Linked DNA regions of Lepisosteus oculatus. The protein of the gene in region 1 interacts with the protein of each later gene in a biochemical or structural test. Links are inferred from orthologs where the notes say so. Each region holds a gene or a part of one and is shown on either strand. Other genes may lie near its edges.

The links.
Region 2: the proteins of DNA topoisomerase 1 (region 1) and nkx3-1 form a complex in vitro, tested with the Homo sapiens proteins (2 studies listed by BioGRID and IntAct). The link is inferred for Lepisosteus oculatus from reciprocal best matches to the Homo sapiens genes TOP1 and NKX3-1.
Region 3: of the proteins of DNA topoisomerase 1 (region 1) and toporsa, one has a biochemical effect on the other in vitro, tested with the Homo sapiens proteins (2 studies listed by BioGRID). The link is inferred for Lepisosteus oculatus from reciprocal best matches to the Homo sapiens genes TOP1 and TOPORS.

Annotation. Positions count from the first base shown.
Region 1 is NC_090711.1:6,856,957-6,864,106, forward strand, and holds the start of DNA topoisomerase 1, read right to left. Parts: upstream 3,049-7,150; 5' UTR 2,796-3,048; coding exon 2,763-2,795; intron 2,448-2,762; coding exon 2,423-2,447; intron 1-2,422. UniProt on the Homo sapiens protein: Releases the supercoiling and torsional tension of DNA introduced during the DNA replication and transcription by transiently cleaving and rejoining one strand of the DNA duplex.
Region 2 is NC_090697.1:72,162,852-72,169,374, forward strand, and holds nkx3-1 (homeobox protein Nkx-3.1), read left to right. Parts: upstream 1-4,432; 5' UTR 4,433-4,524; coding exon 4,525-4,816; intron 4,817-5,408; coding exon 5,409-5,842; 3' UTR 5,843-5,968; downstream 5,969-6,523.
Region 3 is NC_090696.1:72,086,938-72,094,718, reverse strand, and holds the start of toporsa (topoisomerase I binding, arginine/serine-rich a), read right to left. Parts: upstream 3,095-7,781; 5' UTR 3,060-3,094; coding exon 3,003-3,059; intron 1,122-3,002; coding exon 1-1,121. Other genes in the region: ndufb6 (NADH dehydrogenase [ubiquinone] 1 beta subcomplex subunit 6), read right to left, coding at 6,264-6,335, 6,618-6,662, 6,863-6,955. UniProt on the Homo sapiens protein: Functions as an E3 ubiquitin-protein ligase and as an E3 SUMO1-protein ligase. Probable tumor suppressor involved in cell growth, cell proliferation and apoptosis that regulates p53/TP53 stability through ubiquitin-dependent degradation.

The DNA.
Region 1 (7,150 bases):
ACACATGAGGCTCAGCATGTGCCTGCCTTCAATCTCACACACTAGAGCCCAGGGAAACTTTAAAACAGCCCAGTGTAAGCTCTGGTTTGAATAGTGCTGCACCTCTGGTCTGCAGATTTCTGTGCGAGACAGGAAAGAACGCAGTCACTGGCCTACCTCTATTAACACTGCACGCGTATACTTCAGGATAGGAGAATGATTGCAGTGTGGAAAAAAACAAAACAAAAAAGAGTCACCTCCAAACAATCACAACATGCTTTCTCAACAGCGACATTGCATTCACTCACACAACCACAACTCCAAGGCCCACCAGCAATTTCTTTCAGTTAATTTCATTTTAGGAATAAGAAGTTGGATTTTTTGTATATAGCGTAGATAACTGTAACACTTTTCAGTCATTCAGGGCCTCGGTGGTGGTGGTGGTTGGGGTAAACCAGGTTTAGCTAACTATGCTAACACTGCTACCGCCCATGCAACACATTCACAACTCCAGAGATAGGATGCCTGGAACAGTCTTCCATAGAGGGGGGAGAAAGAAAAACCGAAGTCGCCTTTTGTCGACTTTAAGAACATTTTACGTGATTGATTGCGAGCGATTTTTCAGCAAATTAATTTTTAACATGCACTGTAAACAGAACCGTGTGGCAACTAAAGTGCAACATAAAGACAAGATTATTCTCTAACCAGTGTGCCGTCGGCCACATTTCAAAATGTTTAAAATGGAAAGACGGCCTTCTCCAAGGAAAACAGAGAAGTACTTCTCAAACAAGCAAGACTATATACTGAACTGAAGTTTCATCCTCGGTCCCAAACGGTCGCTGAAGTGAGGGTTGAAATGAAAAAAAAAAACGATACCTGCTTTCCATACAATAATACACTCCCTTTAACCCCCGACACAAAAACATTTCTTAAATGCGACTTGTGGAGAAAGTGCTGCTCATCACCGACGACAAACTAGTCTCATAGAATGTAAGCAAGCAGGTTAAGTAAGCTGAAAGACAACTAAAAAGACAAAAATCAAATGGATAAGTTTAAGCAAAAAATAAAATAAACAGTACAACAGAATCTTCCATTTACATTTTGAAATTCAGCTACTCTTTATTAGCCCTAACTTTCATTAAAGGGTAATTAAAATTACACTGAACAGTTTTATAATTTCTGGAAAACCCGGGATCTCCAGGCTGTACAAAGTTTTTTTAAAAAAGGAATGCAGATGACAACGATGTTTCCTTTTTACATAGGTGCCCAGTAAACACACATTTTGTGCAATCCAACACACTTTGATTTTAAAACTAAAAAGTTGTCTCTGACAGCATAGGTCACCTCTACAGGGAGGTTCAAAAGTCTGGAGGTGGAAGACGTTGGAAACATATTTTAATAAAACAAAATAATTCAATTTATATCTTAGCCTCCTGGTCAAACCTGAAGTTCAAAAGCATATTTCACCAAATGAGGTTTTGCACAAATCCTTACCACCTTCAAAACCCCAGCATCCTTTTGGTTAAAATGACACAATGGGTAACACTGTTAAATTCACAAAACTATGCTGTTTTCTTAGAAACCCAATTCAAGGCAGTATTCTTCAAAATGCAGCCAAAATAAAGTTCACTGTACTATTTTCTCCGGTTACCTTTTTTCATAATAAGTTTGAAAGTTTATAATTCAACAGCTAATGGTGGTATTCAAAAATTACGAGGGTTCAATTAAGGAAAACATCCTTCATTAATGATAGTAAAATATAACTGTGCACTTTTAAACTACCCCTCTGGCATTAACGTTTGAACCCCAAACATTGCCAAGGGTCTGTCTAAAAAAAATATTTTAAACATTATGCCACAAACCGGTGTGATATTCTAATAACGGCGGACAATTTAAAGATCACATTCTTAAAAAAATAAAAACTGAAAATAAATGTAATTAAATACCCCTCATATTGCACTGTGATAAAGAAAAAGGAAAAAAAAAGACGCGTTCATTCCTACAAACCGTTCCTAAGAAGATCCCCATACCTCCATATCACGGCGATCTGCACTTTGTGTTCTCGGCACTGAGAGACTAAGCACAGAAAAAGAAAATGGCGCAGAGACTAAGTCCTCAACCCCCAAACCCCAACTTTCGGCACCAAAATACGCCCTTATAAGCCCCTTCCAGAAGCAATCGGGGGACATTTTGGGAAAAACAATATCCATCCCTATCAGAATCCGGGTTCATCTGGAAAAACGGAGCATTTTAAGTGTGGTTTATAAGCCCTCCATTTGAACAATAGGAGCTTGAGAGTAAAGGAGAAGGGACTTAGTCTCTGGGACGCCATTTCTGTCCTTAAAAAACTAACTACAGAATACAGGCTCATCACTAACGGGAGTAAAATATAGAAAATGAGCAAGTATAATTACATAACATTTGGTGGGGACACAATACTTACCATTAACTCGAGATCCCGTGTCGATCTGAAAAAAAATATTTATAGATGTCAAGCTATTATTAAAAATATATGTACAGTAAGTTTCAACTAAGGTTATGCGAAAATGGCTTTTCATAGATTGTTCTAGCACAAAAATGGCTTTAAACTTCTTATAAAGTTATTAGTTAACCACCAACACCTCCTAAAACCAACGTACTCTCTGATCGCGGACACGAAGCAATTTTGTTCAATTTTCTACCATCAATTTTCACTATATTACAGCTTAAGGTTACGATTTAAACCTTATCTGTCAAAGCCGAGGTCTACTGATCATGACACAACATATTTCATGTAACGTTACCTGGGAGTCGTTGTGAACTTGATCCCCACTCATTTCCTGGTTCCTTATTTTAAAATTAAAGTATGAAATGTCTTGAGAGCAATTGCCGGCGAGGAGCAGTAAGCAGAATGGAGAAAGAAACAGTTGTGTAACAGACTAAGTCCCACTTTTTATTCACTGCGCATGCTCAGCTCGTTTAAATGGGTAAAAAAAAATGCGTCTCGGCCTACTGGCTCCTCCCCATTTTGCGTGCACACACCAGCACTGCTAGTGCGAGCGTGGGGAGCCGCTAGCCATGTGGCAATGAAGATCTCCGCGGCCGATGTGTGAATGTGCCGTGCCCCTGCGCCAGCTCCAAGAAATACACACACGTGGACGCACCTAGGAAACGACTCGTGGGGTTTCACCAGCGATGTAACCCCCACGTCACAAAAGCGAGCGCACGGCAGGAGCTGCGCGTCACGTTGGTAGATATTGTACCGAGTTTCGCTATTATTAAAAACGGGAGTTGTTAAGACCGACCAGTTGTTGTTGTTTTTTTTTTTCCCGCGTGTCACTGTGTTGATTGAAATATCCTTTTCGTTGCAGTTGCCAAACTGATTTTCTTTAGACAATAGTACAAATAACTTACTCTGGATTATTTTCTAACAAAGGCATGTTAGAGAGACATGTACATTAGTCATAGCACGCTTGTTTTTAAAGAGTTTGAAGGGTTATACTCTGCCAGGGTACACCCCTACTCTTTTCGAGAAACTACCTGGGATTTTTAATGACCGCAGAGAGTCAGGACCTCGGTTTTTTTACGTCTCATCCGATGCCTTTTTGCAGTAGTTTCCCCATCACTATGCTTGGCATTGTGTCCCTAATTGTGAAGAGTGTTTGTATCCGGTTGAATCGATTTGGTGGAGCAATACTGTTCTGATGTGATTTCAAGGTAGGTTTCCAGTAGCTCTGATGCTTTTCTGTTTCCTTGTTTCTAGTTCTCATCATGGGTGCATAATCAAAGCTGCATGAGCCAAATAACATTGAATGCCAGCAAAGGCCATATTATCAAATACAGGCTCTGTTTACTCTTCATAAGATGTAAAATCCCGTACTTGAGAGATAAATAAAGGCTCTGTTCTTTTGCCCCTGAATAAAGTGAGCATGCAAGAGCTTCTGAAATTAAAACCAGATACCATGATAAACAGAAGCCACAGTGTTACATCATAGCTTCCTTTCTGCTGTTGCAAGTCACCTGGGCTGTAATGATTGAGGTCATGTTTTTCAGAATTTCTCAAAAACACAGTTCCTTTTTTAAACCTGAAATTCCACTGACACAACAATATTGCCTTCCTCTCTAATTGTTGTCAAAACACAGTTGCACATTAGAGATTCACTGCTATCACAACAATAGGACTTGGTTTTACTATGACAAACACAGGTGACATTAGCAGCAAGAAAAAGACAGTATAAATACAAGATATAACATGCCTTCCAGTAGTTTCAAGACAGAACACCAGGCCACTTTTGAGAGTAAAAGATCAAGGAAATCATGAATGTTGCACATTCCATGTCAGATTTGACAGGTTAACCTGTCAAGGACAGACAAAACTTTATAAAAATAGCATATAATTAAAGGTGTTTATTTTATCTACACTTTGAATAACAACTTGTGGTAAGCCTCGTGTTGCCCAGTGTAAAATGAGAAGTTCAAGTGAAGTCATTCATGGTTTATTCTGGGATGATCTATAATTGTGAATTTTATGTACTCTCGTGACTCCTGTAACAGTCAACTGGACACATAAAAGATCACAGTTTGAAAATTAACACCCTGACATCTGGAAAAAAAAATGTAATAACAACATTCAATTTTTTCTTTTATTCCATCCATCATTTAAATACTACAATACAGGGTAGAGGAGGAGCCAGACCATATCCCAGCAAGCTTTCTTCTTTTCTTTCTAATATTTAATATATTAATTGTCATGTACACATGCAAACACTTTGCCTGCAGATCTTAGTGGCGATCTTTGTGAATTCATAAACCGGTTCGGTTGAAATGGTTCAGATAATCATCAGGTTCTCCCTTCTTCACTCTGATCTACTTGTGCGATGGCATTCCAAAGCAGTGGATCAGATAGAAAAAAAAACAGAGAAAGCAACAAAGTGATGAACTCTTATCAAACAGCCCTTCGCCCATCCTTCCATCCTTTCATTTTCAAGATGGGACACACCATCGCAGGACAAACACAGACAGGAACACACACTCACACCCGGGTCAGTTTTCCCAGAAGTCCGTTAACCTGTCAGTATGTCTTCATACTCCGGGTGGAAACAGGAGCACCTGGAGGAAACCCAGATCAACGCGAGGAGAACACACAATCTTCATACAGCAACCCAGTGGCTCTGTGCTGCAAGGCAGAATGCTAACCAATGCGCCTTCATGCTCCCCTTTATAATTAAGCAAGTGAATTAATTTATCTCAGAACGTAAGCAATGCAAGATATCTGATTGACAGTGAGACTAAGATAAATGAGGTCCAAAGAGAAGCTGGAAGCTGTTAAAAGTTCTTAAAAAACAGAATACACCATCAGTCAGTGGCACACCCAGGAATAATGGAATAATCTCAGCACCAACTGAGCATATACCAGCAAACAGCTTGCATGTCACAGCTTGCATTCTCAAACGCAATGCACAAACTGGACCTGGGAGTGAGGAGTGCTCCCCAGTAGATGTAATCATCTATTATAATTCACAGTAAACAAATGTTTATCGATAGGTTTATCCTTATTTTGTGATGCGAAAGATGATCATCTACAATGTTATTTTTTTAAACATTTGGAGTTTATTAGTGTCATTAGGCAGAAAACAAACACAAATCTAAAAAGCCCATCTTACAATACCTTGTGGGTTCAAATCCCATATGGGACACGGTGAAATTCACAAATATTCTCTCCGAAACCTGTCTATAGTGTTTATAAGCAAAATTGAAGAATAAGAATATAAGAGTTTAAAAAGTCATCAAAAGCATTAACAAAAATTGCAATTTGTTTTCCAACAAAGATACTTTCATACACTATTCTAATAACTAAATTAACATTTTGAGAAATTTGCAACTGCAGCTTTTGGTTTGATACCTCTAGATTTTAACCTTCTATTACAGTGTATATAGCCAAGGAAACGTATGTGTGTGTGCATTCATATGTACAGTGTTAGATATATATACACAGGAGTTCAGAGTGCTTCTTCCAGTGCATAGTTGCTTTGCAGTGAAAAAAGGCAACTGCTGGAGGTGAAAAGCATACAGTGAGAGGTGCAGTGTATTGAAGAGCTCGTTTTAAGCTGTTCCTTTCAGTCCAGTTTGGTCCAAAGGAGGAAGCCCTAAGGCGTCAGCTCTTTGACATTCTACTGGTGCAGCAGGAATGGCTCGGGAACCAACCAACAAGGGCATTAAGCTTGCGTGAAGTGGTAGCAGATGAGTGTGTATGCGAAAAAGGCCTATACTACAAATTACAAGGTGAGTAATTCCCAGATGCACTTTTTGATGTCCTCTTGGAGACATGCAATGCAGGCATACACATTTGCAAACTGTCACATGTGCAGATTGACAGCATGCATTTATCTAAACAAAGCTTTTCATTGATTTATTAGATGTAACAAATGCCCTTTTACCCAAAGAAGTGGTATCCAAGATGTTCTACAGAATTGGCTTAAGATAAATGGGTGTTAACATTCATATCTGCCTGTGTATGTATTTAAAAACCATTTATGGCCTGAAAGGACTTTAAAACATCACTAAAAGAAATCTATAAACTCTGAATCTGGGCTTCTGGCATGGCAGCACTGCAGAGTCATATCAAAATACATTAGCCTGCAGAATCCAGGTGGACACTGGCCAGAGTTCATCTTCCAACATGCCAGATGTGAATTGTGTGCCAGTAAAATAAATGAATCTCGACCACATTCAAGGTGCACACTCCGCAAAGTTTTTCTTTGCATGAATGAAAAAGCATTGCTTTTTTAATTTCACCACACGGCTGTTTTTTCATTGAACGCTTTGGTTCTTTTTTCCAGCTGAATCATTAGTCAGTGACGTGTCTCACTCTTCCTTGAAAAATGTATAAAATGGATCATTTTATGCCTATAATAAAACACTACATGCACACCTTAAATAAATCCATCATCCAATAACCAAACAACATCAGGACATTACGCATTGCTGCACACATGGCTTATGGACCTCTAGCTCCTGTTGCCTGTAAATATTACTCTATTATATTTTTGACTTTTTTTTCCCATCAAAAGAAAAATCTCTAATTGTTTTGCAAAGAGCAATTCTTACTTTATGCACAAAAACAAAAATTCAGGCCATGAAAGATTAAGAGATCACAATATAAGATCAGTTACGGACCCTTTTGAGTTACCCC
Region 2 (6,523 bases), on another chromosome or scaffold:
AGGAACTTAATTCACTCCCCAGAACCCAGGGTGAGGGTGCTCTGACACTCAGGGCACATCTGAAAATACTACAGCTATCCCGTTGCACAATAAATCTTTCACAGCTGTTTACCAGCCAAACAGATAAGAGTCCCAGGAGCTGTATCCAGAGCTGTGTTGAGTTGTTATCTGGGAGATAGTCTTATCTTACAACTGTCCTGTACAAGCCAGCATTGAATACATTTCATTCATTCCTACTGAACACACAGGGTAGGAGGGAGGAGGGTTGCATAATTCCTTTTTCTTCAACCAAAAATATCAGTTCTTTTTACTTACATGGCATTCAGAAGAAGTTAATTTTTAGCGCGATACACACTGCACTAAGAAGCATCTACATTGACTTCGTTAATATTCAATGTTGGTGTTGGGTGGTATCTTGTACAGAAAACAGCAAATCACTTGATTAAAAAAAAAGAATTGCATGACACATAGGACTGTTCTGTGAAACAAAACTTCCTGGGTGACCTAAAGGGTATGACTCTGTGTTTATTAAGGTACCATAACCAGATACATAGACAGGACTTGTGGTTAATACATCATCAAGAAATACCCAAACAGATAAAAATCAAAATAGCAATGCCATAAGATTATGATGATGATGATAATTAAACTGGTTCAGGTTCTAACCAGACATTGTTAGTAGTTTGGAAATATTTAGAAACATCTTGAAAAACAAATAAACTACTCACTTTAACCCTGACCCAGAAAAATTCTTCATTCTCCGCCCTGTAAAAGTAAACAACAACTATGCTACACAAATAATGCCACAGATACAATATCAGGCTAGTAAAAACAAGAAATCCCAATCTGACACATTCTGGGTCTAACTTTGACTGAGTTGTACATTTTTACTTTGTGATGATGATGATAGCCGAGCTATTTATGAGGGATGTATAACAGATGGGGTGACATTAACACACCACAGTTTCCTTCTCCGAGCCAGTTTCAACTGTTTTCAGAGGCCTTCTGTTGACGACACAAAGCTGTAGGTCACATCATTAAGTGGTAAAGATCTTTATGAATTAATATATCTGATGCCTTTAAGCAAAGCAGCTTGAAGAGGTTACAATCACCATATTTTCTCAAATGATGGTTCAGATTAAACCAGGTGGGTTTGCTTTAAATACCTTGCTAGGAGGCATAGCATCAGCTGGATTTGAACTCACAACCCTCTGGTCTGGAGTCCTCTGGCTCACCCTCCAAAAAACATCCATGCCTATGTTTCTATATTATTATTGTTGTTGTTGTTCCATTGCCTTTTTTTCCCCCACAAAGTGAAATTTTTGAATGATCTGCAAAACCATATGAAATCCTTACTGAAATGTCTCTTGACATATTTTGAATTTTGGAGAAATTTCTCCCGCTGTAGCTGGGTAATCTGGTGTATGAGGACAGAACCAACACTGTAAAAATATATCAGAATGCAAAACCAGAAAAAAAAAACTGTGTGCTTCCACAATATATGTACCATACACCACTGACCTCAGAGCAACTAGGGGACTCTGCACCAGAGACCACATAATGTAAATTAAAAGAGGATAAACTTTTATTAAAGATGGACTAGAAATAACTGCAGAAAGTAATTCTAGCTCAACATTAATGATATATGTTTTTAGGTTATGTTTGTATATATTTGAAATAGTTATGCTGGAAATCTTTTGGTAAAGCATTTATCAGCATTTTGTAAAATAATGAAATAGATGGATGGTTCTGAAATGACTCTGGACTGGACCCAAATACAGTGTAGCAGTATTCAGAATCAAATAGCCCTTATATGCTGCTCCGCACAGGAGCTTGCACTTGAATGTTGCCAGTTGGCACCATACCAAAAATTATTTCAGCACATTTTGTTTTTTTATGAGCATCAATACTCTTTAATAACAGCATCCTCAGCTCCACTTGAAGTGAAAACTAAGGCTACAGAAATGCATCACAACTCTGGAACTGCTCATCATGATGCAACTTGAAATGAGCACTACAGCTAAAAAAAATAAAAAAAATAAATGGCACTAACGAGAAAGAACGATGTTGTATCAGCCATAGGAACCAGTGTTTTTCAGTAATCTGTTTACTGGGATGAACAATGAATTAAACCCTCACCAGGACCTTGAGGCGTTATCTTATCTCATGTTTATAACCTCAGAAACTACTGTTATTTTGCTAGTTACATCTAAGTGTAGGTTAATTAATGCTCAAAGACAAAACACACAACAGACTTACCCACCTTCCTGCAGTTCACTGCTTTGCTCTTGTTAAAAATGTCTTTGTTCTTATTAAATTAAATTGGTTGTGGTGTATCAGTCATTAACATCCAATTATACACAACCTATGGTCAACATGTAAACTGGAGACAATCTGTTATTTGGTATTAAATGATATGTCAAATGTAACAGAGTAAGCCTACAGTCCATTGTCTACAGAACGGCTTCCCAGCTCCAGTCCTGGAGAAACACTGTCTTCTGAATTCCATTCCAGCTGAGCTCTATATCTCCAGCGCTAATTGGTGATTTAATTGGGCTGTTCAGGTTAATTGGGCTTGTTTATACTTTTTTTCAACATATTGCCTTGGTCAGTACTGAATGTAAAAAATAACCTACTTCGTGGATTTCGGTTTCTAAATATGTCAGTGCACAAACGTTCCTCATCCACTCCGTCACCACATCGGCCATTGCTTCTCATGAAAACCGCTCCTGCCTCCTGATCAGCGGAGGAAGAACAGCCGCAGGTGGGAATGACACAGTAGAAGACACGCCCACGATTTCTGCCTCCTCCAGAGGGCTAATATCTTACATTTCAGGCACCGTGCCCAAACGAGGGTGGTTCTGAAAACGGAAGTCAGAACTGGGTTGATACTAATTGAATTGCCAATTCAGTCGGTTTACAAAACTTACAAATATTTTCAAAATAGAAAGCTGAAATCAATTAACGTGTGGTTAAGCATAAATCCAACACAGTGGTCCTGCAGTCCTACAGACTCTTCAATCTGTGTACCTGTGTGTAGGTATTTAATAGCCTAACATTTCCTTATGACTTGTAACAAGTTATATACAGTATATAGCATTATATTTTAGAAGTAATAAGAACAAATATGGCACATGGTCTGATCTACTCAATCCTTTGTCATTATGCAGTGAAGCTGTAGAAAGCCATAATTTTAGTTTAGAAATATTTTGAATAAAATGCTCCAACACAAGGCATCAAAGGTAATACCAATTGCATTTCTGTAGACAGAGTGAAAGAAAAAACAGTTTTCCCACCAAAGCAAATTGATGCTTTTCAAGTAATGTAGTATTGTACTGTAGTCCTCACATAAAATTATTTTTCCAAATAATACTAATTGCCATTGATAAGCAAAAGTTTCGTATTGCTTTACTTTTCTGCTGCATTTAATCCGTCCTGTGCATGAAATTCCCGTTAATGTAAACGGTGATTTTTGTCAAATCTGAACATTTCAAACGCATATATTAACAGGCGTATTCAAAATACTTTTATTTTCCCCAAGCCTACCTGCCAGCGCAAATGGAAACCTGATTTAGAAATAATAATATTACAAATGGGGAAATTGTCTTCGTGTCGTTTAATTGTTCATGAACAAACTGTACAGGTGCAAGAATTATTAGTCGTTAAGTCGTTTAACGACTGATTGTGAGGCAGAACATGTCTAGTGCATACAATATGTTACAGTTTCACTACATAATTTTTAAAAAAATGCTGTCATTTTGAAATATTTCATGTTTCACGTATCCTAACATTTGCTACGGCTACGCGCATTCACTGTTAATCAGTGCAAATTTCTCTTTTTATTATTTGCGAAGTGCAGCTTAATATGGTTTAATTTCTGCGAGGATGCCCAGTTTGTTTTTTTAAATGCAGTGAGTGAAAAAAACGTAAAGATCACGATAAAACACTGAAATCCGTTAAAATATTTAAAAACGTAACGATTGCCCACAAACAATCATAAAAGTCCTATGTGTATTTTTTACCATAAAACTAAAATTCGTTCAAACATTTTAAAAACGTAACGATTGCCTACAATCATAAATATCCTATGCATATCTTACATACAGACCTAACATCCGTGAAAATCTTTTAAAAAACTTTATAGCGATTGTCTATAAATAATAATAAAGGTTCAATGCATATTTTCTACATATGAAACTCAATTAACATATGAAATTGAAAAGTACTGTAGATGTCATCACTGCGCAAGGATAGACTATCCGAAATAAAAACACCGTAGTGATTTATCAGGTAAAAAAAAGTGTGAACTGAGCAGATCTGTTTCTGTCATTAGCTCCGGCCCAGCCAATGATATTCTCCCTATGAGTCACCTTCCAATGAGAAGGAACGACAACGTCTGCGATTAGTCCTGTATAAATCGAGGAGGCGCAAAGGAAAGAGCTGCAGAACGGTTTTAAGATCCTATTGATCATAGAACAAAATCTGTTTCTTGCTGTGGGACCAAGCTGCTGTGTGGCTGACAGAATGTCTGCTTCTGTTAAACCGTTAACGTCGTTTCTTATTCAAGACATTTTGGCCTTTAAGGAAGAGTCACGCTTGAGCACCCCAAGGTACGCCTGTGCCAAAGAACCGAGGGAACGCGATAAAAGCCCCGACAGCATCTCGGCAGGTCGGGACACACGGTGCGCCACTGGCGAAAGGGCTTTTGCGTGTGCAGATTCCACAAACGAAGACATCCAGGAGTCTTTCAGCCATGCTCGTGAGACTGGCTCACACGACAAAAACACCTCGACGGACTTGAAGGCTGTGGGAAACGGTGAGGAAACTCCACAGTCTTCTGCAAACTTCCGAACGGAAGATCTAAACGGGTTACAAATTCATCTTCGTGGGGAAGGAAGGGGAAATAAGTTTTAAATCTCGGGTGATGGGAGAAGGATTTGCGCAGAACCATTCTAGACAGTTTGCATTACATTTCTAAAGGCGCAATTTGACGTTTTTATTGTAAAAGTTGTTGTGAATGCCAGGGTGTAAAATAATCGATAAACTAGAATATCGGTCCGTTGGGCTACCTGAAATCTGCGCTCTTACAATGTAGCTAGTAAACGACAGGAAACATCTGTTAAATCTAGTCAGTCCTGATCAATGACAGACATTTTTAAAAAATAACAATTTAAGGACTGTCATTATCCCATTAATTTCACTGTATGTTGTAATAACCTAAATGAAAACAAAAAAACAATGCATTATCATTACCCTTAAGTTATAACCTTAAATGGCCTTGGGATGATATAGCCTTTCATAAAAATAAAGTCTGTAATCTGTGTTGCCTTTCTTATAGGAAATCGAACATTGTTGGCATGATGTGTTGTAACCGAAAAACAGCTGAACAAATGATTTTGTCCCCGCAGACCGCAACGAAAGACCGCCTTGTGGCAGTTCCCCGGAGTGTGGCCGCGGCCGGTCCGCGGACAGTCGGAGCTCAGGCGGTAAGCAGAAGCGCTCCCGGGCGGCGTTCACGCACTTGCAGGTGCTGGAGCTGGAAAAGAAATTCAGCCACCAGAAGTACCTGTCGGCCCCGGAGAGGGCGCACCTGGCCCACAGCCTGCGGCTCACGGAGACACAGGTCAAAATCTGGTTTCAAAACAGGAGATACAAAACCAAACGGAAACAGCTGGCTACCGAATATGGCAAAGACCCCTTTAAAAGAGCCACTGGACTGCCTTGCTTGGGCACGGAGGAGGACTTGATAAGAGCGTCACTGTTCGCGACCATGTACAAGACTTACCACGATCAACAGCCCTGCCTTTATGGGCTAAACGTATGGAACTCTGCTGTGTGGTGAAAACCCGAAACGGGCCCTCAATAATTTATATTTTTTCAGTTATGCTGTTTTCTATATTATATATGTGATACAAAATAAAAACATGTAAATATTATTTCTTTTTTATAATAAACCTTTTTTCACCTATTGGTATATTGCTTATAGCTTTTCTCTTTTTGGACTTGGGGGGGCGAGGTTGGTTATGAAGTCGTTAAAGTAAATCTCATATAAATTAAGTATTCAAATTCTGCCCTGAAATACTAATTTTAGCACTCCTTTCCTCCTAACACGTATTCTGTTAAGAAATCCAAGCACACTTCTGTTTGCCTTTTGTTCTATTTAAATGACACACATTTTCCTTTAGCCTTTATGCTTAATACCAGTAAATTAAATGAGTAATAACATTCACATATGCCTAATATGTACACAACACCAACGATCATAATGCACTATTAAGAAAACCATAATTAGAAAAATGCATAATTAAACTTCACGCTACTGTACATATGCAGTATAGCAATATTATTCTTGTATGTTTTCCTGCTGTAAACACACATCAACTCTGATATGTGTTGAGAATATTGCTCAATATATATTATATAGTGACATTCATATAAGTCGTATTGCATTAATTTAAATCTTCTGACGTCAATCCTTTCATTCTGAAGACAGTATGTAACTATTCTACATCGATGTGTAATT
Region 3 (7,781 bases), on another chromosome or scaffold:
ACAGACCGTGAGGGCAGCTGTACCTGTTCTACTGTTGAGTAAGATGGGCCAGGAGTTTCATCGTCCCACGGCGCTTGGCTCAAGCCACTGCCTGCCACGCTGAGGGAAGGGCGATTCCGCTCTCCAGAATCAGCTTCATCGGCCGAAATGGTAATGACTGATGAGTCCGAGCTGCTGCCTTCTTCATAAGACGGTGCAGGGCAGTCATAAATGGCATGCTGGTCATAGGCATCCATATTGTAAGGGGACCGTGCAAAGCTGATAAACTCATGTAGGAAGTGGTCAGTGCGAGTCAGCAAGAAGGGCCGCAGCTCATCCTGGATGGCTTGGTCTTCCATGTTGTATCTAGTGATGCGGGACATGATGATGTGTTGCACAATGTTCACCAGAGAGCCATGAGCACCGTAAAGCACAGTCAGCTCCCTTTTCAGCCAGGGCACGAGACGGTGTAGACAAGCTGGGTTCCTCTGGAAGAATTCAGCAGAGATGTCCCGATAGCGCCCCCCATCTCGGACACTCCTTACCCGCACGCCAGTGCGATACAGAGCCCGCCTGAAGTTGATGATCTCTTGTTCCCGCATGTGACGCACAGACCTTCCCTCAATCTGGGCTCTCCTCCTTGCAGCCAGCCTCAGCATCATGCGGTGAATTCCTCTGTTGTGCTGCTGCGCGGATGCACTGCTCAGGCTTTCAAACATCACCCCATTGTCTGGGGGTGGCGATGTCCTCCTCGGGGGATTGAACTGCCTGCGCTCTCTTGTCAAGGTGGTGCGGTACCTGAACCGATGCCCGTCTGGGCTGCCAAAAGAGCCGTTTTCCGTCGGGCGCAGGACGAATTCCTTGAAGTCGTCCTCGGCTTTTACGGTGTGGAAGATGGAGTTGAAAGGCTGCTTGCATAGCGGGCACTCTGCTTTGTTTTTGGACCACTCATGTATGCACCGGAAGCAGAACTTGTGAAGGCAGCGGTCCAAGTGTGCCATGTTGTTGAATTTGTCCAGGCAAATGGGGCATTTGGAGTCTGGAGATGCTTCCACCAATACAGTCTGTGACACTTTGCTGGCTCCATCTTTGGGGGAAAACTTCTTGCGCATCCTCAACTTCTTCTTGGTAGATGCCATCACCTCAAAAATAAAAAAACAAAAGCGTGTTACAATTTATAAAGTATATTTCAACACTATAATATACCCCAGTGTTGTGCAGTCTTTTTTCAATATCTTAAAAATAACAGAGAATTTCAAACCACAAAAAATCATCATAAAGTGCAATAATAATTAAAACAGGTATTAGCTGGAGTGAAATCATTCCTTAAATACTAGATTGAAATATAGGTGTTTAGAAATAAAAGGGACATCAACAATGCATCCACATATCAGTGCATTTGTAGATGTCTCAGCTTTTAGCAGTCAGCCAAAAGGCTTACAAATCAAGGAAAAAAGATCTTGAAACCCTGCAAATTGAAGAACAATGCCACAACTTTGTTGTATTCAATAATAATGAGTCTTTTTAATTAAAAAGAAAAGTTCTGTTCCTACTTAATTAAGAAGTTCGTTCCAATAAACAATCATGAATGCCTCAGAGTCCAAGTACATTTAGTTCATTAAGCTATTAGAAACCAAAGAAGAAAGATCGGTTGAATGACATCTGATTTGTTTGAACACATTTCTTATGTTCTAGTTCACGCTATCTCACAGATTAAGCATCTGAAAAGTATGAATACCTTTCACACCTCAAATATCGGGTTAGTGTGACCAAAACATTTAATTAAATAGGCCTCCTTAGACATTTTACTTTGCACAAAACTAAGTATTATACAGTCTGACAAGAATTCAACTATAAATAATGAGGCTATCGTCTTGGATAACATAACTTCTGTATTATATGCCACTGGAAAAGATATCCTAGTGTGGCACCTGATGCTGCTGAAACTGTCCCAGTGACTGAGGCTCACAGACAAGAACGGCAAAAGACACTACTACTTAAAACAGCTCTGTGTGCCAAAAAGTGTATTTTTTGCAGTTGTGTATTACCGAAATCATTAGATTTACTTTATGTAACTCCTCAAAACAAATGTACTTGTTTTGGATGAGCATGCAAATCGTTTTGGCATTTCTGCTCCATTTTTTTACAGTAAATGCAGAAATATAGACAGTCTGACGTATCCAGACGTCACTGAAATTTCGCCATGTCTCCTTCTCTTACGAACCTAGCTTATCTCGGTTATATAAACGATACGACGACTTGAACAAACCTGTTAATATTTTAAGCATTCTATATATGCCGTTCAATAAATACTTTGGCAAAATTGAATAAGTGCTAATTTTTTTTTTTACTAGACCGTAACGATATATTTCACCAAAACGACAAACGTTCATCAAACCCTACAGGCATAAAGCCTCCCATTGTAAAATAAACTACACAACTGTACAGTATGTTTATGGGTACATGTACTGTATGTGTGCCAGAAAATATGCTAAAATACAATTAACACAGCTAAAAATAAATACAGTACTGTGAACTTTGAGCAGGCTGCCTGTATTATTCCTTAAAAACTAGTATTACAGCGAAAGCAGGCTGGACATTGAGCCAGCGGAACTGACACTGACACAGTGACATTCCGGCTGACTCTCGATAACCAACACAGTGCAGGCGTCGCCGTCCACAAACGTGATTCCGTGTTGAAATCTAGGAACCACACGCAACTAAAAACTATCGATTGTCATTTTCCTATCTGCACCCCCGGAAAGACCTGGGAACAAGTACTGGAAGACATTTTGATTAGACTGCCACTTCTCCCCCGACCTGGTTAAACATGGCAGATACCATTATGCACACATTGGCTAAATATCTACTGAAATACTAAATATCTACTGAAATATTGTTGGTACATAATAACCATAATAACCCTTCCTTTCGCATTGTAGAGGCCTAAGTGACTGGGTTATTTCCCGAAATAGCATCTCGTAGTCTTAACCCCGCCTAGGAACTAGATAACCAATACGTACCAATACACAACTCGTTAGCCCACCATAGTTCCTTAAAACTGAACTAGCAAACGACATGAAAGATATACAAGAAAGAATAGGCAGAGCAAAAGCTTTCTTACCTACCAAGAGCAGCTGAGTGGCTCTTTTAAGTTTTGCTTTTTTTATGCCACTGCGCCGGTCTTTCGCGGGCACGGTGCGTCAGAGGAAACGGTCACCCGTCACAGACATCACAATCAAACGTCATGTAGGACAGACTTCAAAGTTAAACGTCATTCTCACCTACCAAGATGACAAAAAATCGCCGATATCCGTGTTATGGATACAACAATTTCTCCCCACAGCGAGCCTGCAGTTTTAGGCCTGCGCTGCGAGACGGGGAGGGAGGGCTCGGTTAGCGAAGGGGAGGCCGTGGCGCTCCTGCCCCCTGGCGGCCCGGAGGAGCCAACGCGTACAGGGCCTCTGGTGGGGTCACCCACCCGTGACCGCGCAGTTTTGAGTCGCTTTCAACTGCTTATTCGTCAGCAGCGACAATATGAGAACACTAATTCATACACACAGAAGTATGGGTGACAATATGATTTCTCTCTCAGGAGTTACTCTTAAGACACAGTGTACGATTGCACTGACGTCTCCCGCGGGGAAAAGCGGCGGAGTCTACATCTATACGGAGAGCATAAGCGGAAAAAAATGTGGAAGTAAAACAAATCATGTTAGTGACAGTGCGACCTGTTTTGTTTACTTACAGTCATGCTGACTGTTTATTACTAAACTAATTAGAACAACATAAAGGGTTTGATGAATGAATCTCAACTTAAGGCATTATCCTACCCTTTGAATATTGTTCACAAGTGGTTTTATTTGCGTATTCCAAATATTTAATATCGACAGTGAATAATGTTCGTAGCTTCAACGAGCTAAATAATTGGCTAAATCTTGCATTTGCGGATTCATATGTAAAAAAAATAAGATTTGGGCATTAAAATAGCTGACGCCCGGTGGCGCTGTGGGTGAAGTCTCTTTGGAAATCAGTTGGCTTTCCGCAATGCAAGGCGGTGTTTACTCGGACTAACCCGCAGCGTGTTGATGGTGTCGTTTTTTTAGACAAAGGCTGTTGCTACTGGTGAAAATTTATTAGACAGAAGCTGTCCGGAGGTGCCAGGCGGGTACAAGGTGTTCCTGATGTGAGACAACATGATTTATGTCAGCCGCAGAGCTCTCGACAGGATGTACTCACTCGTAAGTGACCGACAAACCTGTCCTTCATAATGTACGTAATGAAACCGAGAATATAGTTTTTAGGTTCGCTTCTGTAAAATTGCACCATTTAAAAAGGACGGGGTGCAGGGAGTTGATCAGTTCTGCTGCGATGTTGTTTTTTGCCCCTGTATGTGAACTCTGAGCATTCAAACTCCCCGTGTTGTTATAAATTCAAACTGTAAGCGTCTTACCCTAATGCACAACTCATTCCAATATATATTTTTTATGTTTCCTACTTTAAGTGGCTTAAAACCAACTATTGGGGGGGAACTCAAGCCTTAAAATTTAGTAAAACGGATGGATGTATTTCAGTGTTCAGTATCTTCAGAAAGTCCGTTCTGAGCCATTTATTAGTTTTACGATTCTCAACAAATTAGTCTGAGGTTCAAATCAAGTTCCGGCAAAACTGTGTGCAGATTTTGCTGTTCAGACATAAATTTATATTTTAAATACTATTTGTAATATTGTAAAAAAAAAACAAATTTTAAAAGCCGGTTATGGCAACTGTTATTGTTCATAGTTTCCAGTATTTTTGTTTTCAAATTATGGAAAAAGCATTCAACTCTTATTAGTGATTATTCAGGGGGCAAGAGATTTAATTTTCAGTGTGATTTATACAGCAAGCATTTTCATACAAATTCATTAAAAGACTTATGTTGAAGTTTAATGGTTTTATTTCTAAGGTACTCTTGGCAGTGGTACTCCTGTCCTGGGGATACGTCATATATGGAACGAGAATAGCAGCACAGTGGCAGCTGGAAAAGCAATTCAAGATCAATAACTGAAGTCCCTGAGGAACTGAGGCGTGTGGACGGAGGGGGTTAAATGTACCACCCAGACCAACCTGCAAAAGGAAGATGAACCTTATGGATAAATAAACTTTCTGCGAGATGGAATGAACTGTATTCAATTCAATTTATGTCTGTATAGCACCTTTCACAACAAGGCACTTAATGCAAGTAACCATACATTTTGTGAATACAGAACAGAAGACAACAGAGGAGAGGAACCAAAAACTCCTTAGTAAGAAGAAAAAAAACCTCTAGGTGTCCAAGGTCAACTGGCTGCCCAACCCCTTAGGGCATGCTAACATTATATAGTAAAAAAAAAGGAAATGAATGAGGGTATTAATCCATGATGTTTTCTGTATGTCAGTACTCCATGCACATCTCTGTAGACCAGCAAAATCCTCCTAAACGATAGCTATATCCACGATGTCCCTCTGGGATCCAAAGTATTTGCAGCTCGAAGTACTTGTGCACCACTGAAGATCAACACAGAATGTTCTTAATATGCTTCATTGTGGTTTAAAAAGAATCCATATAGTGTCATAGCATTTCAATCTTCTGGTTTAACAAAGATTATTTAGAACTTTGTGATCTTTATGCGTGTTAAAAATATGCCTTCTCTACTTCATTGCAGGACAATCAATTGGGACTTTCATACTTTTTTCAAGACCTTACCCAGCCATCAAGATACCCCATTAAATAGGCAATTAAGACCAAAGCTAAAAGAGAGAAAGCTGAAGAGTAGCTTTAAAGTTTTAACAATTTATTATTCAGGCAGTGATAAAGGGTTTTAGTACTTAATTTGGGAAAAGTATCGTAATGGCTGTTTAGATAAGACAATCCTATACTTTATATCCTAACCTAACTGCTGGGAGTAATTGACACTGTAAAGGCTCAAGACTGATCATGCAGTTTGTGTAACTTCTAAGTAGGCATTGAAAATACCCTGAATTAACATTTATGAAAATTAAAATCCTTAGGTAAATAAACTGAGGTGAGAGAAGTACAATCTCTGTATTTCTGATGTTTGTCCGCCACACGATCTGTTAAGGTTAGGATTTGCTGCCCCTTCTGTTGTAGGATTTCAACTCAAACAGATCAACTGTACATGGCACAAAACAGAAAATGGACAAATAAAATGAAGGTGGCATTTGTAAATTAGTTTTATTGTTAAATAAAATCCTTTTAACCTCAGAAAAGTACACGTGGCTTTTTCTGTCTTTTAGGAACTTGTTCAGTGGTGTCCAAAGCTTTCCATTTCCGGGAAGGGAGGAAGGACCTCTCCAGTTTCCATGATTGTGTCCCCCTAAAATAAATCAAGCAATACGAATCACACGGGATTGCTCAACACTTTCATACCTGCTTCCTCCAGAATAACTAACTTCAACATGCTGAATTGCCTTCAGCATTAATTTCCTTATGAACCTTATTTGGCTGACATCCTAGTTCACACAAATGTTTGTCAATGAATTTGGAGATGAAAGTGAAGGCACAACGGATTAGTCTTCCATATGCAGATTTTCAGTATTCAAACACTATTAAGCGCTACATAAGACATGGGATACTAGACAAGGTAAATAACACTTACAGGGAACAGCCTTGGTTTTGCTTCTACAATACCATATGGTTTCATCTAGAATAAAGAGAACAAATGAAGAACAGATCATTAGAATCCATAACTGCATGCAAAGCTGTATTAAAATGAAATACACAGGTAGCCAATACATAGTTACATACTATAATATATTCTAAAAGAAAAATGGCTTTGTGCTGCTACTCATCTGCCAATTGTGATGGCAATTTATATTTGTATTTAGTACATCCCAAACTTACCGCAACATGATACTTGACATAATAATGACAAATCCAAGCAGGAATTATCAGCTGAGTTAAGGACCATTTTCCAACCCGGTAGGCTTTATAAGTCTGAAAAGAAAGGCTTGTGTTAAAAATAGTTCAATTCAAGCTTATTATTATCCTCTGGGGAAAATTATGTTATGACACACCGCAGTACAACAATAAGAATAAGGAAGACAGTCAATACTTGAGATTCCTTTTACACCCGGGGACACAGAGGCATCTCCCAGATGTGACAAGTTTAAATTCAGAATGGAGGGGGTGAGACACACACCTCATAATGCTCTTGGCCTTCTGTACAACTTTTTGTTTGTAGAGGATATCTTATTTGATTTTTCACAATTATTTTGCTACTTATTTTCACTAATTTTCCCCCAACTCAATTCATTTAATGACACTAATGCTGCCAAACCAACAACTGAGACAGTGTGATAAGACACTTTCAATAAAAGTGTTAAAATATTTCTAAAAATATTTATAGTTCTTAAAATTGTTCTAGAAATAGGTGAGTTTCAGAAGGAAAAAAAAGAGTCTCTGTTGGTCTTTTTCTAAATGGTGTCACATTTGTCCAGTCTTAGGTTTTTATCTGCAAGTCCACTCCCAAGTACTTGGTAGTCACTGACAATTTTCTCCACAGACCATTAATTACAGCAGGTAAGATAAGATCACTTTATTGGCCATATACAAGTTCTTGTATTAGGAATTTGTCTTTTCGCATACCCCAACTTGCTCTCCATGAGACACACAGACAGGGAGAGAAGCTTGGGGTCAGAGCACACGGTCAGACACTTATACGTCACCCCTGGAGCAGTTGGGGTTAAGGGCCTTGCTCAGGGGCCCAACAGAGTAGGATCCCTCTGCCGGCTGCGGGATACGAACCAGCAACCTTCCAGCC